3 linked regions of the Neurospora crassa OR74A genome follow. The protein of the gene in region 2 purifies or fractionates together with the protein of the main gene of each other region. This does not show direct contact. Links are inferred from orthologs where the notes say so. Each region holds a gene or a part of one and is shown on either strand. Other genes may lie near its edges.

Evidence for each region.
Region 1: the proteins of NCU04327 (region 2) and rpa-1 purify together in Saccharomyces cerevisiae (affinity purification with western blotting; 4 studies listed by BioGRID). This does not show direct contact. The link is inferred for Neurospora crassa OR74A from reciprocal best matches to the Saccharomyces cerevisiae genes MCM2 and RFA1.
Region 3: the proteins of NCU04327 (region 2) and NCU01164 purify together in Saccharomyces cerevisiae (affinity purification with mass spectrometry; 4 studies listed by BioGRID, with this or other methods). This does not show direct contact. The link is inferred for Neurospora crassa OR74A from reciprocal best matches to the Saccharomyces cerevisiae genes MCM2 and SPT16.

Annotation. Positions count from the first base shown.
Region 1 is NC_026505.1:1,821,576-1,827,501, forward strand, and holds rpa-1 (replication factor-A protein 1), read left to right. Parts: upstream 1-1,953; 5' UTR 1,954-2,190; coding exon 2,191-2,222; intron 2,223-2,283; coding exon 2,284-2,544; intron 2,545-2,605; coding exon 2,606-4,045; intron 4,046-4,106; coding exon 4,107-4,206; 3' UTR 4,207-4,633; downstream 4,634-5,926. Other genes in the region: NCU03605 (amidohydrolase), read right to left, coding at 1-382, 445-1,363; NCU03607 (threonine dehydratase catabolic), read left to right, coding at 5,199-5,535, 5,808-5,926. UniProt on the Saccharomyces cerevisiae protein: As part of the replication protein A (RPA/RP-A), a single-stranded DNA-binding heterotrimeric complex, may play an essential role in DNA replication, recombination and repair.
Region 2 is NC_026505.1:5,629,903-5,635,853, forward strand, and holds NCU04327 (DNA replication licensing factor mcm2), read right to left. Parts: upstream 3,810-5,951; 5' UTR 3,658-3,809; coding exon 3,653-3,657; intron 3,570-3,652; coding exon 1,199-3,569; intron 1,057-1,198; coding exon 784-1,056; 3' UTR 523-783; downstream 1-522. Other genes in the region: NCU04328 (metaphase-anaphase transition protein), read left to right, coding at 4,473-4,606, 4,661-4,715, 4,775-5,951. UniProt on the Saccharomyces cerevisiae protein: Acts as a component of the MCM2-7 complex (MCM complex) which is the putative replicative helicase essential for 'once per cell cycle' DNA replication initiation and elongation in eukaryotic cells.
Region 3 is NC_026505.1:3,095,160-3,101,115, reverse strand, and holds the start of NCU01164 (transcription elongation complex subunit), read right to left. Parts: upstream 3,974-5,956; 5' UTR 3,411-3,973; coding exon 3,234-3,410; intron 3,135-3,233; coding exon 3,050-3,134; intron 2,994-3,049; coding exon 2,872-2,993; intron 2,801-2,871; coding exon 1,195-2,800; intron 1,143-1,194; coding exon 34-1,142; 3' UTR 1-33. Other genes in the region: NCU01163 (GAF domain nucleotide-binding protein), read left to right, coding at 5,021-5,023, 5,159-5,263, 5,352-5,356, 5,479-5,558, 5,848-5,956. UniProt on the Saccharomyces cerevisiae protein: Component of the FACT complex, a general chromatin factor that acts to reorganize nucleosomes. The FACT complex is involved in multiple processes that require DNA as a template such as mRNA elongation, DNA replication and DNA repair.

The sequences.
Region 1 (5,926 bases), about 3.8 Mb from region 2:
GCTTCCCTCGCTGTTTCCGCCCAGAGCCTTGTCTGAGCCTCGGGTCCCAAGCCGGCCATATGGCACGTCATCTCCACCACTCTGCGCCACTTCTTCCAGGCTTCATCACCAAGGCCTAGAGTGCACACCGGCCAGTCGCTGCCAAACATGATGCGTTCGGGCCCAAAGGCGGCTATCACCACAGCAAGCCAGGGTAGGATAGCAGAGAGAATTTCCTCGGCCGGGCGAGCCCTCAAAAACTCGGGCATCTCGCTGAAGCAGCCGCTCAGTTTCATGTAGGTACGGTCGCACTTGCTGAGAGTAAACATGGCGGTGCGCCAGGCGATGTATGAGGGATCCGTTTGTACATTGACGATGGTTAGATCTGGCTTGCAAAGGTGGTCTGAGATGAGAACCATCAGTTAGCAAGCAAATCATGCAGAATGTGTCAAGGTAAAAACTTACTCAGGATAAATACCACTTTGTCCTCCTCGTCCACACCTTCGTGTGCACGGTCGATCATTTCTACCGCCTCCTCCAGTTGGATTCTCCCTCTTTTGTGCTGGTCAACACCCAGGTCAAAGACGAACTTCTTTCTGCCAAGCAGCTTCAGGCCCTCGATAAAATCGTCACTTAGGGCTGTTCCGTTGGGCTTATCTTGCAGCAAGTAGCGGAAACCCTTCACCTTGGCCCATGTTTCAGGCCCGGCTTCCTTTTCCGCAGCTGCGAGATACTTTTCCAACTCGGCAGAGCCCAATACAACCGGCGCCCACGGCACAATTCCGAGACAATCACGGCCATCGTCAGCCGTGTGGCCCTCGCCAGGCTTCGGTTGGCCGGTTACGATGCGGCGAAGCCATGCGATCTCTTGTAGGGGGTAAGTCCAATCCTTAGCATTGTCGTTCTTGCGGTCGACCTCAATTGCGACGTAGCCCTGAAGATTGCCAGGCGCACCGGTGGCGGTCTGGTATTCCTGGATGGAGTGCTGCTTGGCGAGAGGATTGTCTTCAGCGTACCACTGGTGGGATTCTACCTCGGACTGGGGATAGAGGTGCACATGGGTGTCGATGATGGGAACGGAAACGGCGGGAGATGATGCCATTTTGATCAGGCCGTTATCGAGCTCGAGTTTGGTAAAGCGACGGATATGTTTGGCAAGAAAGTAAGGTATCCAGTGATAGAGAAAGAGAAGGAGACAAGCGAAGCAAGCAAAGTCAGAGATGACAGGAAGTAGGAAGGTCAGGACGTCGAAGCGGTGTACCGTCCTGCAGGCAGACCAACGCTGAACACACAAAAGTAGAGGTATGGATGGGATGTAACTGAGGCAACGGGGGAACTTCCAATCGAGCCTTCTCCTTCTTATATTTTGTATTCGTTTTAGCATAGGCAGGCACGCGCTACAGTACGAGGAGAGTACCTCGATGGTCAGGAGGGGGTGGGAGATGGGATCGACACAGACAGCCAGGAACCACGACGAGGTGGGGTACGTTCGGCATGCAAAGGGCAGGCCCAAGACGGGACAATTCACACCGAAAGATTCAAAGATAGGGTTCCTGATCAAGAATGGTTACCTCCCGTCTTCGGTTTCCATTTCCTTGAGGAACCCAAGGTCCTTTTCCCTTTCGTCTTCCTACAGCACCGGAAGAAAGATACCCTTGTTATGTACAGTCATCACATGATTGTGCGAATATATTAGCAAAAAGGGTTCTATCTGCAAGACCTGACAGAGAAATCATGACATGTTCCAAAAGCTTAAGAAGTGAACGAGGCCAAGAGGGAAGTTGAGCCCCTGGAACTTGCTGAAGTTGAGCTCTCGGGTGGGGTTTGATGTGGAGATATGGGGTTGGCGGGCAACTGCCATGCTTGTCAGAAGCGCTTGGCAGCAACACTCCCCGGCAAACGCAAACTACACGCGCTATACAAACTGGGGCCCTCCGCACGGACCGTGGATGCCTAGCAATTAAACTCTTGCCCCTCCTCGACGCGCTGCCAAACGCGTCGCTGCTGCAGTCCATTGTTTGTGTGAAATTTCCCCTCCAGACCACCATCATCATCAGTCCAACACACTCGATCCATCCGTATCTTGTCGGATCTTTCTTGACTTCTGCGCCCCAATCCTTGCATCTTCGAACACGACTCACGCATAAATCAACCTCAAAAACAACATCGAGAACGTCTCCACGGGCTTGACGCCAACACTACCCAACCAACATGGCGGGTCAAATCACACAGGGCGCTCTGGAGTAGGTTTCTTCACGTGTGCTTCCATCCAGTAGTATGACAGACTCTGACTTCTTGCTATAGCGCCATGTTCAATGATCCCGATCGCGCACAACAACAGTTCCCTGTCCCCATCCTTCAATGTCTCCAGATCAAGACCCTCGACTCCAAGAATGGGGGCGCGGGCGCCACGGAGAGGTTCCGCATTGTGCTGAGCGACCTCAAGAACTATGTCCAATGTATGATGGCCACGCAAACAAACCATCTTGTTCACGATGGCCTCCTGCAACGCGGCTGCATCGTGCGCTTGAAGCAGTATCAAGCTCAATGTCTCAAGGGCAAAAAGTACGCCTATCTACCCCTCCGCCAATTCGGGAAATCCATAACACTGACTGTTTAAATCCAGCATCTTGATTGTCCTCGATCTCGAAGTTATCCAGTCCCTTGGCTGTCCCGAAAAGATGGGCGATCCACAGCCTCTTGGCCCCCGCAGTGCAGAACCACAGCAGAACCCCAATCTCGGCAGCACCGGCTTCTATGGCGTCAAGAGCGAACCTACCCAAGACACGAAACCACAGTTTCCACGCCAGATGCCCTCGCGTAATGCCAGCGGGGGTCAGGGATCAAGCACGATATATCCTATTGAAGGTCTCTCGCCCTTCTCGCACAAATGGACCATCAAGGCCAGAGTCACCTCCAAGTCCGATATCAAGACCTGGCACAAGGCTAGCGGCGAGGGCAAGCTCTTCAGCGTCAACTTTCTTGACGAGAGTGGCGAAATTAGAGCAACAGGATTCAACGACCAAGTCGACCAGTTCTATGATTTGCTACAGGAGGGTCAGGTTTACTACATTTCTACACCTTGCAGGGTACAGCTTGCCAAGAAGCAATGGTCGAATCTCCCCAATGACTACGAGCTCACCTTTGAGCGGGATACCGTGATCGAAAAGGCCGAAGACCAGACATCTGTACCACAGGTACGCTTCAACTTTGTCAACATCCAGGAGCTTCAGGATGTTGAGAGGGATGCGACTGTCGATATTATTGGTGTCCTCAAGGAGGTCCAAGAGGTGACCCAGATTGTATCCAAGACCACACAGAAGCCGTACGACAAGCGCGAGCTGACCCTTGTTGACAACACTGGGTACTCGGTACGTTGTACCATCTGGGGTAAGACGGCCACGAACTTTGATGCTCAGCCTGAATCCATTGTGGCCTTCAAGGGCACAAAGGTCAGCGATTTCGGTGGACGCAGCTTGTCCCTGCTTTCGTCTGGCACCATGGCCATCGATCCGGATATTCCAGAGGCCCATCATCTCAAGGGCTGGTATGATAGCAGCGGCAGGAACAACACCTTCGCCACCCACAACAACATGCAGACCTTGGGTGGTGCGACCGGTCGCAAGGACGACGCCAAGACCATCTCACAAGTAAAGGAAGAGAACCTTGGCACAAACGAGGCGCCGGATTACTTCGCTCTCAAGGCAACGGTTGTATTCATCAAGCAGGATAACTTTGCCTACCCTGGGTGCCGAAGCGAAGGCTGTAACAGGAAGGTCACAGATATGGGTGATGGTACCTGGCGCTGCGAGAAGTGCCAGATCAACCACGATAGACCTCAGTACCGTTACATTATGAGCGTCAACGTCAACGACCACACAGGTCAACTTTGGCTTAGCTGCTTCGACGATACGGCGCGGGTCATCATGGGCAAGTCGGCCGATGAACTTATGGAGATTCGAGAGACCGACGAGACGCGGTTGCCCGCCGAGTTTGAGCAGGCCAACTGCCGCAAGCTGAACTTTAGGTGCAGGGCGAAGATGGACACATTTGGTGAACAGCAGAGGTACGTATCGGGGGTTATTCTCACGATTAGATGGACGTTGCTGACACATTGCTTGTTGCAGGATTCGATACCAGGTCATGAGCGTGGCGCCCCTTGACTACAAGATGGAAGGAAACAAGCTTAACGAGCTCATCAATTCTTACAACCAAATGAGCATGTAAAGGGGAGGGTGGGGTTTGTTCACTTATGCGAGGAACTAGATGATGTATATGGTTAATGAACACGTGTTTGTATTTTCGGGCATGTGGTCTCAAGGATGAACGATATGGGCATCACTGGCCTATCGACTGAAAGATGATTTGCAGTTTCATGATGGACTGGGATGGTTAAGAGCTGTGATGGGCCGAACCCTAACAGAACTTTGTTGGCGTGGCAGCAAATTTCGGCATGATTGCAGACTTGAATAGGTCTCTCAAGCGTTATCTTGGAGTTGAGACACTAGGAGACCTTCCTGTTCGAGTTATCTTCGATAACATGCCGAGGTAAGTACACACGCTTCGTTGACTAGAAGAAAGCTCCAGAGCTGGTCAAGGTCGGATCAGGGCGGTCCTTGCAATGTAATACGCACCTTTCGGGCTCAATATCCACATGGCAATCCGATCATCTCATCCGTTATCGGCCTTCTTCACCCTCTCGTATTCTCAAACTCTTCTATGCTTCAGCTTTTTCACGCAAAGAACCCGTGGCACAGCCTTTCCTGGTCATCTTTCTTCACTTTCCAACTTCCGTTATGTGAATAGGCACCCCGGCTCCGGTCTCTATGCGGACTGTTTAGCTGCTCGATACCGTATCGGCACTTATCGATTACGCAGATGGATGACAGGAACCTAAACGCCGTATCTTCCTTATCGGCCGTCGTCGGGATCCCCTGCCGTGACTCCACATATCCGCCGTCCAGACCCGCCCCCGCTCCGTTCCCTCGGGCCCCCCACTTTCGATGTAGCGGGAAGCTGACACCGAGTTCTAGAACAAAAGACTATTGAAATCACGTTTGAACCGTATTCGTGTCAGCACTAAGACCAAGTTAAACCTTTATCTTTGCTCATACTTCTCTATCCCATTCAGTGTCTTCTTGTTGTCTACTTACACTCATCACCTTCCACCAACATCAACAACAAAGTGACAAGCTTCAACCTCTCAAACCTCCAACGAAATGGCCGACCCCAGCACCACCCCTCCCCTTACCCGTGCCTCCGTCCTCGCCGCTCACTCCCTCATAAAGCCCTACATTCACGAGACGCCCGTGCTTACGAATACCACTTTCGACCAACTCGCTTCCACCCCTCGTACTCCCGAAGAGCTGCAAGGAACGGAATGGGAGGCTACCGAAAGACCGGCGAACCCAAAGATTCGGTTCTGGTTCAAGTGCGAGAATTTCCAGCGGATTGGCGCGTTCAAGGCTAGAGGAGCGTTTCATGCTGTGGAGAGGTTGAAGCAAACTGAGGGGTTAGAGGGGTTGAAGAAGGGCGGAGTAGTGACGCATAGTTCTGGTTTGTGAATTTCCGCTTTTTTTTTTTTTTTTTTTTTTTTTTTTTTTTTTTTTTTTTTTTTTTTTTTTTTTTTTTTTTTCTTTTAATCTGGATATGATGAGGTGATATCAGTATTGAGAGAAATGAGATTGTGAAGATGTGAAGTTTTTTTGAAGGCTTTGAAATAGGTTGAGTTGTCTGAATTGTCTTCTGAGATGTGATGAGAGTTGTCGATGTGTTCAAGACGTAGTAGCTACGTGAAGACCCAAACTGACGTGACAACGAACTAAAAGGTAACCACGCCCAAGCCCTTTCCCTCGCTGCCCGCGAGAACGGCATCCCGGCGCACATCGTTATGCCTACCATCTCGCCTCCGCCCAAGATCGCTGCCACCAAGGGTTACGGCGCCAAC
Region 2 (5,951 bases):
AATTTCGCATGGGACAAATTAGGATCAGTCATATTTTCTGCATTTTTCTGCTACGGCTGGTTTCATTGTTATGGGTACCACAACTGGATCTTTTCTCATGCATACATCGGCGTTTGTGGCAAAGGCGGGCGATGCATTACTATAAGGGAAATGGGATGTAGAGACACCACAAGTTTCTGGCGTTTTGCGCTTCATAACTACTGTTTGCTTTACTTTGGGAGAAGGGCATATTGTCTTGTATTTCATTACGCGTATAGACGTACGTGTGTATGGACTAAAGCTGTGAGATGTAGCATTGTCTATCTATTGTTTTGAGGGAAGGAAAGGACAGTTGAATGACTGTATTTGAAAGAGGCGGTGGGTGTTTTACACGCATCAGATGGAAGATTGGTTGGTTGCTCTCGCCTTGTTGGCGTGGTAACGATGGGACAAGCGTATCACAAAATAGGGAAAGTTACATTATGATGTTATGAAGGAATGATACGACACTATAGTAGATAGGTGGAGGCAAATACGATTGCTGATAATGCCAGTTTTTGGTTTCATCACTTGGGGTTCTATTTCGCTTGAACCGAAAGAAAATATGACACTATGCCATCCACAATACGTAACAAGCGTACAAGATGATATACCCAACGCCTCCACTCCGGCTCTAATCAAGCCCTTTTTACACAAAGTTCATAAGCGACCCAAACAAATCCCAACCGTGTAATCTTCCCAGGTCCTTCACGAAAAGCATGATTTCATATCTCTCCACATACCTCAAAAAGTCATCAGAACCTCTCAAGCAGCAGCGCTCACACCCCTCCTAGCACCGCCCCTCCTCCCCTGAGAGGTGCCGCTCCCAGAGCCATTATTACCAGTACCAGGCCTGTTAAGCGTGTACTTGGCAAAAGCCCTGGCAAGCGCCTTCTTGCAGCTGACCTTTTGCGAGCCAACAAAGGACTCGACGGTCACGGCGATAGCGCGGTCAATGTCCTGGGCGGAGCAGTACTCGGAAAGGCGCATGCGGCAGAAGGCTTCGGAGATGCGGATGATGGCTTCCAAGTGACGGACCTAAGGTGGTGGTGGGTGAGGTTAGCAGTTGTTATTGTGTTGTATTTTGTGACGGAGGAAGAAAGAAAAAAAAAAAAAAAAAAAAAAAAAAAAAAAAAAAAAAAAAAAAAAAAAAGGAAAAAGGAAAGAGGGAAGAACTTACAGTAATAGGATAAGCCCCCGTCGCCAAACTCTCCCTTCTCATATCCGCAAACAGCCTCGCCACCTTATCCTCATCCATGTGATACAACTTTGGCTGGCACCGCTCTCGGGCATAAAGGATATACTTCCTCAACAGCTCTTGTGGGATTTCGCCCTCTTTTTTACGGCCGTGTTCACCAGTTTGTTGGGTTTCCGCAGCAGCTTGGGTATCGTGTTCAACCTCCATGGAGTCACCACCGCTAGCGTCCTGCGTGTTGTTGTTCATCAACGGATGACTCCTCGAATGCGACCCGACAATGAAGCGCGCCAGCCGCTCATCTTCTTCAGGCTCGACTGTGTCGCGCACGACGCAAAGGATGTCGAAACGAGACAGAATCGGCTCGGTAAGCTCCACGTTGGCAGAAAAGGGAATGGTAGAGTTGTACCGCCCGCCAATAGGGTTAGCAGCGGCGATGATTCCGCACCGGGCTTGCAGGGTCGTGACGATACCGGCTTTGGAGATAGAGATGGTCTGCTGCTCCATGGCTTCGTGGATGGACGTGCGGTCCTGGTCGTTCATCTTGTCGAACTCGTCGATCAGGCAGGTGCCCTTGTCGGCGAGGACGAGGGCGCCGCCCTCGAGAGTCCATTCGGACGTGAGCGGGTCGCGCCGGACGGAAGCCGTCAGACCGACGGCGGAAGCACCCTGGCCGGTGGCGAAGACGGCGCGGTGGGCCGTCTTTTCGGCGTACTTGAGTACTTGTGATTTGGCGGTACCGGGGTCGCCGAGGAGCAGCACGTTGATGTCACCGCGGATGTGGTGGGCGCCGACTTGCTTGGCGACGCCGCCGAAGAGGGAGAGGGCGACGGCGGTCTTGATGTCGGTGTGTCCGTAGATGGAAGGGGCGACGGAGTTGATGATCTTGTCGACAATGTGCGGGTCGCGCGAGAGACGGCGAATCTCGTGCTCGTCTTCCTCGGTCATGCGGAAGCCGGCGAGCTGGTCGTGGGATTTGACAATGTTGTTGGCTTCGAGGATGGTGGCGAAGACGGGGAAGCCGTTGCGGTTGTTGAGCTGCGCGTCGTAGTTGTTGCGGTAGATGCCCGTTACTTCGATCTCCTCGCCCGGCTTGGCCTTGTCGATCAGGTCCCAGAGGAGAATGACCTCGCGGTGACGGGGCAGACGACCGGCGGGAACGGTGCCGGGGGATTCTTGGAGGGTGAGCTTTTGGTAGTTGCGGTAGACGGTCTTCTCGGAGTTAAGGGTGAAGGGGCCACGAGACTGGCAGGACTGGCAGTAAGAGATCTTGACTTCGACGTTGGACTCTTGCTGGAAGGGACCGAGAGTGACGCCGCACTTGGTGCAGTCGAACTTGACATACTTGAGCTGGGGGAAGACACCGGTGCGGCGGGTGACGACACCGCTCACGCGCACAAGACAGTTGAGGTGCGACTGGCGGAGCTGACGGAGGGTATAATGGATAGGAAGGTCGAAGATACGGACGTGGATCTCGGCGTGAATGCGCTCGTAGTCGGGGTAATGGAGAAGGACGACTTCCATGGCAACCTCGTCGAAGAGCTTGAGCATCTCGGTTGGCGCATTGGCGAGGAAGTATGCGAGAATGGCCTTGGCTGTAGCGAGGTGCTCGTAGGAGACCTCGAGAGACTCGGCGTTGATCTCACCAAGAGTACGGATGCGGTTGCCGTAGACGGACGAACCGCTCTCGTCGGTGTATTCTGTGAGGAAAGCCTTGAACTCTCTGCGGATGGTCTTTTGTACAGCCGGGACTGAGATCCATTCGCTCAAAGTGGCAGCCTTGACATCCATCAGGGCCTCGAGGGGAAGTTCCGAGTCCATAATGTCGCCATCCATATCGACATCGGGGTCTTCATTGTAGCGGATTCTTCGGCGGCGTTCCAGGTTGGTAAGGTCGATATCACCATCGTCGTCATCACCAGGAAGATACGTGGTGCCCATTCCCATCCTCACTTGACGGTCTCTCTGGGCCAACTTGGCTTCAAGACGGCGCCTTGCGGCGGGGTCGAGGGCCTCATACTCGTCATCGTCGATGTCAATTCCTTCGTAGGCGTCGTTTTCGTCTCGTTCCCTATAATCGCGCTCGAAGCCTTCGCGGAACAAATCTACATCGTCTTCGGCCAACTCGTCGAGGTCGTCAATGTCGTCTTCGATTTCAGCGGCGACGTCTTCCTCGATGTCGTCGTCCTCATCTGCGCCATGGGCAACTGGGAAGGCGGGAGGAGAAGAGGGCATGACAGGGCTCGAAGCGCGGGGAAGCGAGGAAGCACCATCGTGATCGTTACGCGCACGCTTGCGAGTGGCCCTGGGAACGGCGCCACGGTTGGCAGAGGACGGGTTGTCGCGAAGCGGGGAACTGGTATTGGAGAGTTTCCGTTAATTCACTGTTTACTTGCGAAGAGAAGCCGTGACAGACGAAAGAGCAAGAGGCACACATACCTCATGATTGCGACTTGGCTGAGGGTATCTCAGAGGACTGTAGCCAGCTACAGATGGAAGAAACAAGAGAGTGGAGGATGCTGGCCTAGTTGTTACTATGGAGAATGAATGCCAGCCAGAAAGAGGATATGTTGCGGGGTGAGACAGAGAGAGAGAAGGGGGGGGGGGGGGGGAGGGGAATGGAGACAAACAGCGTCGAGGAACCACTGAATGAATGTTGCCCTTCGTTGCGGCGACCTTGTCCCTGCTTTTTTCTCGCGTTGCAGTCCAGGGAAGACGCGCCAGACGTGATGCGCTAAGCCGGATAAGGGCGGTCGCGTTAAGTGGTTGCTGAGGTTTAATGGGCTTGGCAATGCGTACCGGACCCACTTGGTGCTGCTCTTACACGCCAATTCGACTCGTCGAGATTCCCAAAAAGTCACAAAAGCTCAAAGTCCAGTGAACAATGACGAGCAAAGCATGAGCTATAAGGTGCTACATACTACAGGGCCATGTTATTGATCGGATCACGTTCAAATAGGTTTCCTTGAACCCAATTCCAATCTGTGCTGCTTGGACATATAGACCACAGTGCCTTACACCAAACCAAGGGTACATTGCAAGCTCGGTCCTTCTCCCCACGCTTCCACCAACGCGCCCTCCTCCTCCTCCTCCCCCTCCTCCTCCTCCTCTTCGCGCCCCAGCAATTGTTTTTTGTTTTAAAGACTTCCGGACAGAACCCATCTTTCGTGATCCAGCACCATCTCGAGGCATTTGTCTTATCAACAATTTTGATAGACCACCGACCATCCAAGATTGACCGTGAAAGCATCCATCACCCATGGACCCTCAACCGGCGCAACAGCCCGCCGAGGCCACTCCAGATGGCCATGGAGCTCCAGCACCAGTCGCGCTCACCAAGACTCGTACTGAAAGCTTCTCCGCCAAGTCAGAAAACTCTCAGACTGCCGCAGAGTATGTTGTCATATATTGGACTTACCACATGACAAAGTACTAACCATGGTCTAGCTTCATCCGCGACCAAATGCAACTAGAGGCCGACGCTCGCGAAGCTCTTCCATACGTGCGTGTCCCTTGTCTTCTCTGCCCTTTTCCTTAAAGTCAATCCTAACCTCCCACCAGAGCATCGAAACCTGCACCAAGCCCCTCGGCCCCCTCCGCCAGGCCGTCTTCTCCTGCCTGACCTGCAACCCACCACCCGCCGACCCGAAAGCGCCCTACAATGCGGCCGGCATCTGCTACTCCTGCTCCGTCCAGTGTCACGGCGAGCACACTCTCGTCGAGATCTTTGCCAAGCGCAACTTCACCTGCGACTGCGGTACCACACGCTTCCCGCCCACGAGCCCGTGCAACCTGCGCATCAATGAGGAGACGGGCACCAAGGGCGGCGTGCACTCGGAGGAACCAGATGTCAACAACAAGTACAACCATAACTTCCGGAATCGGTTCTGCGGCTGCGAGTGCGATTATGACCCGTTTGAGCAGAAGGGGACCATGTTTCAATGTCTGGGCCTAGGCACGGCAGAAACGGGTGGTTGTGGGGAGGATTGGTACCATCCTGGGTGCATCGTGGGTTTGGGTCCGGATTGGTTTGAGAAGATGGACAAGAAGGATAAGCCCAAGTCTGCGGCGCTGAAGACGGAGGTTAAGACCGAAAATGGTGCCCTACCTACAATTGCGGAAGATGAGACAACAGAACAGAACGGCGCCCATGCCGAAGAGGCAGAGGAAGACGAAGACGAAGACGACGACCCACCTCCACCGCCTGGCTTCCCTGCCGATGACGACTTTGAGGGATTCATCTGCTATAAGTGCGTCGAGGCGTACCCCTGGATCAAGAGATACGCGGGTACTGAAGGATTCCTACCGCCTGTCTATCTGAAGAAGGAGGAGCAAACCATTAGTACCACCTCGGAACTCAAAGTCAACGGCAATTCCTCATCTAAGAAGCGCAAAGCATCTGACGAGGACAACGAACACATCGAGGAATCCCAAGAAAAGAAGCCCAAAACCGATGAAACCGTCCATTCAACGACTACCGCCATCACTACAACCGAGTCCCTCACAACCAACGGCTCTTCCACCATCACCTCCACCACCAACACAACAACCCTCACCACCACAGACTCCTCCACCACAACCCCCCACCCCAATCCCAACCCCAAACCCTGCCTCCTCTCCTCCCTCCCCCCACCACCTTCCCAAACCTCCCAAAACTCCCCCTTCTCCCTCTTCTTCACCACCCCCTCCTTCCGTTCCCTCCTGTGCCACTGCCCCCACTGCTTCCCCCTCCTCATCC
Region 3 (5,956 bases), about 2.5 Mb from region 2:
AGCTCAAGCGAACGAAGACCGGGTCTAATCAGTCTACTTTCTCCGCTTCTTGGGTGCCGCACGTTCCTCCTCGTCGTCGAAGCCGCTCTCCCTGTCACGCTTCTTAGCCTTCCTCTCCAGCTCATCCCAATCCTCGCCCTCCTCCTCCTCGCTGTCTTCCGCCTCATCGCTGGCCTCCTCCGAGGCGTTGGAGTCGTATTCGGAATCCTCTTCGCTAGACTCGGAAGCGTCCTCCAATTCGCTCTCGTCAATTTCGAAGGCGCTCTCCTCTTCCTCCTCCTCCACTTCGTCGTCGTCGCTGTCGTTCTGCAGGAAGCCCCAGCCACCATCCAAGAAAAATTGGTGGGTATTGGCAGTGACCGTTTTCATGATGACACCCCAGTTGAGGTTGAGAGGACCCTCTGAGAAGGCAATGTCAGACGAGTCAAGGAACTCCTTGACGTCTTCCAAAGACTCGACAGGAATGGTGTTGATGTGGTATGGTGGCCTCGTGAAGTCCTTGAAGACAAACACCAGATCAAAGTTTTTGAGACCAAACTGAACACGTTCCAGATGTGCGACTTCAATGTCCTCAAGGGTGATAACCATGAATGGAGGTTCGGTGATCTGGATGAGACACTCCGTGGTGGGCTGGATGTACACGTTACTGCGGAACGGTACACCGTTGAAACCAAGGTCGCGGAGTGGCATGTCCACCTCAATGCCTTCGTTGCGGCCCGCCTCGGCAATCTTTTCCGCGAACGACTTGAACAGGCGATCCAGCTCTGCGCGGCGCCGGCGTTCCTCCTGTTCAGCCTCGAACTCATCCTCATCACCATAACGATACTTGCGCTTCCGATTGCCGGTCTCGTCGAACTGGATGTCGGTGGCTTCCCTGTAGAATTGGACATCCTTCGTCTTCTTCTTGTTTCCAATGATAATGGGATCCTTGAGGTGGATGTGGATGATCACAATCAACTCGTGCTGACATGGTTGGAAGAAAAGGTGGCGAACGTTGGAAAAGAGGATATCCACGCGTTGCGTTGTGCTGAGAGGTGACTGGTAGCGAATACCGTTCTGGTGAATTTCCACCTTACCAGGCACACGCTTGCCCTCCATGGCCGGCCGGATGAAGACATTATCCAATACGGCGGGCCGACGGTCTGATAGTTAATTAGTATGTTGCAATACAATTGATCCGGGAAAGCGACTTACTTCTGATTTCAACGAGCTTGTCCTGCTCAACTACGTCCTCCATATCCTTCTTCTCCTGCTCCTTCTTGACAGCGTCTCGTTTGAGGTTCGAGATTTGGTTTGCAATGTCAGCATACCTATCGCCATCGGTTGATTTGAAAGTCAAGCTCCTGACGAAGTGCGCAGATGCATCTTCGAAGGGCTGCTCATCCTTCCGACCCACACCCTGGCCAGGAGATAGGAAGTTGATTCTCAAGAATGACCACTCGCCCTCGTCACTCTTGCTTGCGTTCTTGATGGTGTTGATATGGAAGGGTACCGGCCTGCCCATAACAGGCAGTACTATGGTCGCGTTCTTTTGATCAATAACGATGCCCATATCCTTAACCTTGGGCGGGAATTGATTATCCCGCTTGTAAGATTCGAAGCGCTTGAACTTTTTGATTTCGACGCCATTCTCATCAGCGGTAGATTCGGCGTATTTGGCCAAGCCTTCCTTCTGTTTCTTCTGCGCGAGTTCCTTCTGATGCTCGCGACGTCTCTTGTCCGCGTCCTCATCTACCGTTGTATTACGCTCAGAGCGTAGACGAGTGCTAGTGATGTTCTTGGTTGCAACGGCACCCACCCTAGAGTCCCGCTTCTCCTTTTTCGGTGTGGGCTGTGCTTCTTCCTCATCTTTGAAGAAGAACGAGGTGGCATCAACATCGACAGGCGCCTCGCCAGTAAACACCACCGGCTCGGAGCTAGTGACACGGATCGTATCGGAAAGGATCAAGGAATAGACCTTGCTGTTCTTGTCTTGGGGGTTGGGGTTCTGGATATCACTGAAGCCGGTGGTCACAACCAGTGTCATGCCATCCTTAAGGGTACGGGTGTTCTTGTTGTTGAGAATCAAGGTCGGGTCCTTGTTCTCCAGGCCGATTCCAAAGCCGACGTTCTTAAGAAAGTGCTTCTCAAGATCGGGCTTTTTGGACCGCACAAAGTTGTAGGCCTTGGTGTAAACATCCTTGACAATGGCACCATCCCGGATCTCCTTGAGAATGAGGTTGTGGACAGCAAGTAGGAACTTGTAGTTGCTTTCTTGGGACTTGTTGGGATCGACCATGAAAGTTCTGGCGATTTGGGAGCAATAGGACTTGTATCTGAGACCCATAGCCGCGATGATAATTCCCGGGTGGAGTATATCATTGTCAGAATCAGCCTGCCACTTCAGGTCAAATTTGCCACCACTTTGGACGATCGGTCCCAGAATCCAGTCCAGCTGCTCGGGATCGAGGTCAGCCGGGAGCTTCTGTCGGTTGGGCAGCTCGACGGTCTTCCAAAACTTATCGTCTTCCAGTTTGTTGAAGACCTTATCGGCTAGTGCGCTGTGCTTGATCTTCTTATCTTGGTCGAGGATATTGGACATTTCGTCGAGGAAGTAAGGGGTCAGGAGGGCGACGCAAGCCTTGGACGAGGTCCGCATGGCACGAAGCTCGGTCTCATCCTTGACGGAGAAGGCGCCAGCAGACAGAGCCTGGGCAACGTCAACCTCCTCCACATCCTTGCAGTTATCGGCATAGACCTTCTTCCATTCGTCGATAAAGGGGCCCTTGGAGGTGTCCTTGGTAAGGACGCCAACCTTCTTCTATAACGAGCGAAAATGTGTTAGAACCGCACCGAGATGTTGATGTGCGCCCAGGATGGGATGTAACTTACGCCCGCAGCCTTGATGGCATCCGTAATTTTGATGAAAAGCTTCTCGTTCTCGGCGGCGTCCTTCCCCCGCACGAGGACCTCAACGGGGTATCTGCCGCCCTTCACTTGGTCGAGGTACTTGGCTATTAACGTGTCAGATAGTTTGTCCGCGTTCTTGGGTCGGGAATACCGGGCGAACCTTTCTTTTGGGTGGTGAGAATGTAGATGGTGTCGAGGGTAAACAGCATGAGGGTCGTCGGGAACTCGTAACCTAGCAGCCAGAACTTTACGTAGAGCTATCAGCAGCTGTCATTTGACTGGAATGGCCCGCCAGACGTACAGCCAGCGCACGCCGAGCGGGCTCTCCAGAGGGCAAAACTCACATGGATAGCGTTGTTCTTGTGAAACTCGGGGTTCTCGTCGACCTTGCCCATCAGGATGACGATGGAAGAGACGCCACCGAAGAGAGCGTCTCCGGAGCGCTTGTCGGCCTTCCAGGCATTGTAGAAGTGCGAGACGCGCTCCTGGAAGACCTTGCTGTCGATTTTGATGTCTGCCATGATGAGCGACGGCACAGCGGCGCGCGATTGAAGATGGCAGAAACAATCAAATCAGCAGAGGTTTGGGTTTGGGTGAAGTCGTGCTTTTGGCGAGGGGCTGCTTGCTCTGGTACTGACGGTGGCGGCAGACACCCTTCAAGATGACAGAAACAAGGCTACCACACCTCTCCAGCCGGCACTGCTAGTACTTTACAGTGCTTGCCAGCCGGGATCCGGTTCCAGGCCAAAGACACAAAAATTCCCGTGTCGCGCGTCGCTCACGTCACGGGCCACAGCTCTTGGCGCCCCTGTCCACTGCCTTCGCGTTAGGATGCCTAAGAGGTTCTGTTCTGTGCCTGAGGCAACTATATATGCTGGTTGCCACGGCAATGGTGATATTCCTGAAAGGTCTGTAGTATGGGAATCGTAGAGAAGTATATTGATGAATGATGGAAATAGACGAGCGTAAATGGTGTCGTCGGGACTTCCAACAACTTGCGATTCTGTTAACTTTGTAAGTCGAACTTGTACCTCTTTCTTTAGGTGCCCTGCAGCGAGTGCATGGAGATGAAAGAGGGACAGGCGGGACAGGGCGTGGAATGGAAACAGAGGGACGGGAGGGGTGGAGCTAAGTTTCCAATGCACAGGTACGATTAAACTAAGTCTTGGCAAGCGATGGAAGCTCTGGGGTGCCGAACTTCTTCCATTTAAATACTAGTAGACGTACTAACCAGAACTCACCTTTCTTTACTTCGACGCAAAGAACGTCCTCAGCAGCGATCAACCTAGAGCTGATACCCATGTCAACCTGAATGAATAAATGAACGAGTGATGGCAATCACTGTGCGAAACGACAGCAACACTATCTTCAAGAATAGACTCGACGGGCCCAGACACCGCGTACAAGTGCAAAGAGCAATGTCCAAGATGCCGCTCGGAAAACCTGTGATGTTTCACATCTATACTTGATAGATCGGCATTCTGGAAGATACCGCCATGAGATGGAAAAATTGGCTAACATCTGCCCGACGGGAAACTTTACTGAATGGTGGAAGACGACGAACTGTGCCCATCGAACCAATCACTTGTCCGTGATTTGACGTTCACTGCAAAGCGAGCTGCTGTACTGCAAAAATAAGTAGTTCCCGCTGCCGTCTCGACAACCATTTGGGCATCTTCTGGACCTTGGTTCGGGTAACTTAGACAGCACATCATAAGGTCCAGATCACTAATAGAAGACAAGCTGCCATCAGCACAACTTCCGAGAAGGGCCCTTGAGCTGTATCCTGCCCAGTATGAAGCGAGGACGAGCCTCCCACACCATCTAGTAAGTATCCGCACAATTATCTTGGATTCCTTTATCCGGCTGGTGATTCAGTCCGGTCCTCTTTGGGATCGAAACCGTGAATCCACCGGAGGCCACTCGGGGCCGGCCCATCGGCTGCCGGTACGGCGGCAGTTCCGCACGGACCCGACCGGAGCAGTGCCATTTGGCCCCACTTCCCCGGATTCAGAAGTGAATGACAAATTTCAAAAGTTGAAGTTCGCTTCCTCGGTGTCCAACACCACCACTCTAGGTCGATTTTCAAGATTTGTACATAGAAAGAACAGGGTCATAATAATACGTCAAAATGGTTCGTGAACAGTTTCAATCAGTCCAATCCTTTGTTTCGAGACAGTTGAAGACCTCATCGCGCATACCTACCTACGAACTACAGGCTTCTCCAAACTTGAGGACGGTTGAGACTAACACGGTATTCGTCTTATAGGTTCACGCCGACGCTTCCAACTTTGCTGCCAACGTCACCAAGGAAGAGGCCTACCAGCAGGTTCTTGACCAAGCTGAAGGTCTGTTCTATGAGCAGAGGAACTGGGTAAGATGAGGAACCAAGCCTGCTTGCACCACCACATCAGGAAGGGACAATGTCTAAAAAGGTGACCTGAATGATTGACATTCGTTAGGTTTGGTAAGTCGACGTTGGCTCCCACATGTACCCTACAGCCCCTTCTCGGGATGGTCCGTCCTGAAAACAACAGATGGAACGTACAAGATCCTCATTGTAGTGCTAATGTACTCTTTAAAAAATAGCAATTTGTCCAACTGCGCTGCCCTTCTCTGGCACGCTTTCAAGTCTCTTCCGGCTCCGAGCAACCAGGTCAACTGGGCTGGTAAGTATTTGTTGTGTTCATCTTTGTTCAAGATCCAATCCAGCTTTTTCTTCCTACCTCTGCTTGTTCAACGGTCGTTATCTCTTCTTTCAGTTTTCATTTTACCTTGCTTCGTCGAAAATTCCTGTCCTTTTTGGACAACATCTCCCTCTCCTCACTGCGTCACTACTTTGCCTGTCAAACACACCTATACGTCTCATCTCACTACACTTGACTCTCTCTTTCTCTCTCCCTTCCCCTCTTTTCCTTTAGCCTCTTCCAAATCCAAATTAACCCGCCCACATAATAGGCTTCTACACCCTCAACCACCCCTCCACTACCGAACTCATTCTAGGCCCTTTTCAAGGTAAAGTAGCCTGCCAAACCATCGCCTTCGGCAGGGGCGTATGCGGTGCCGC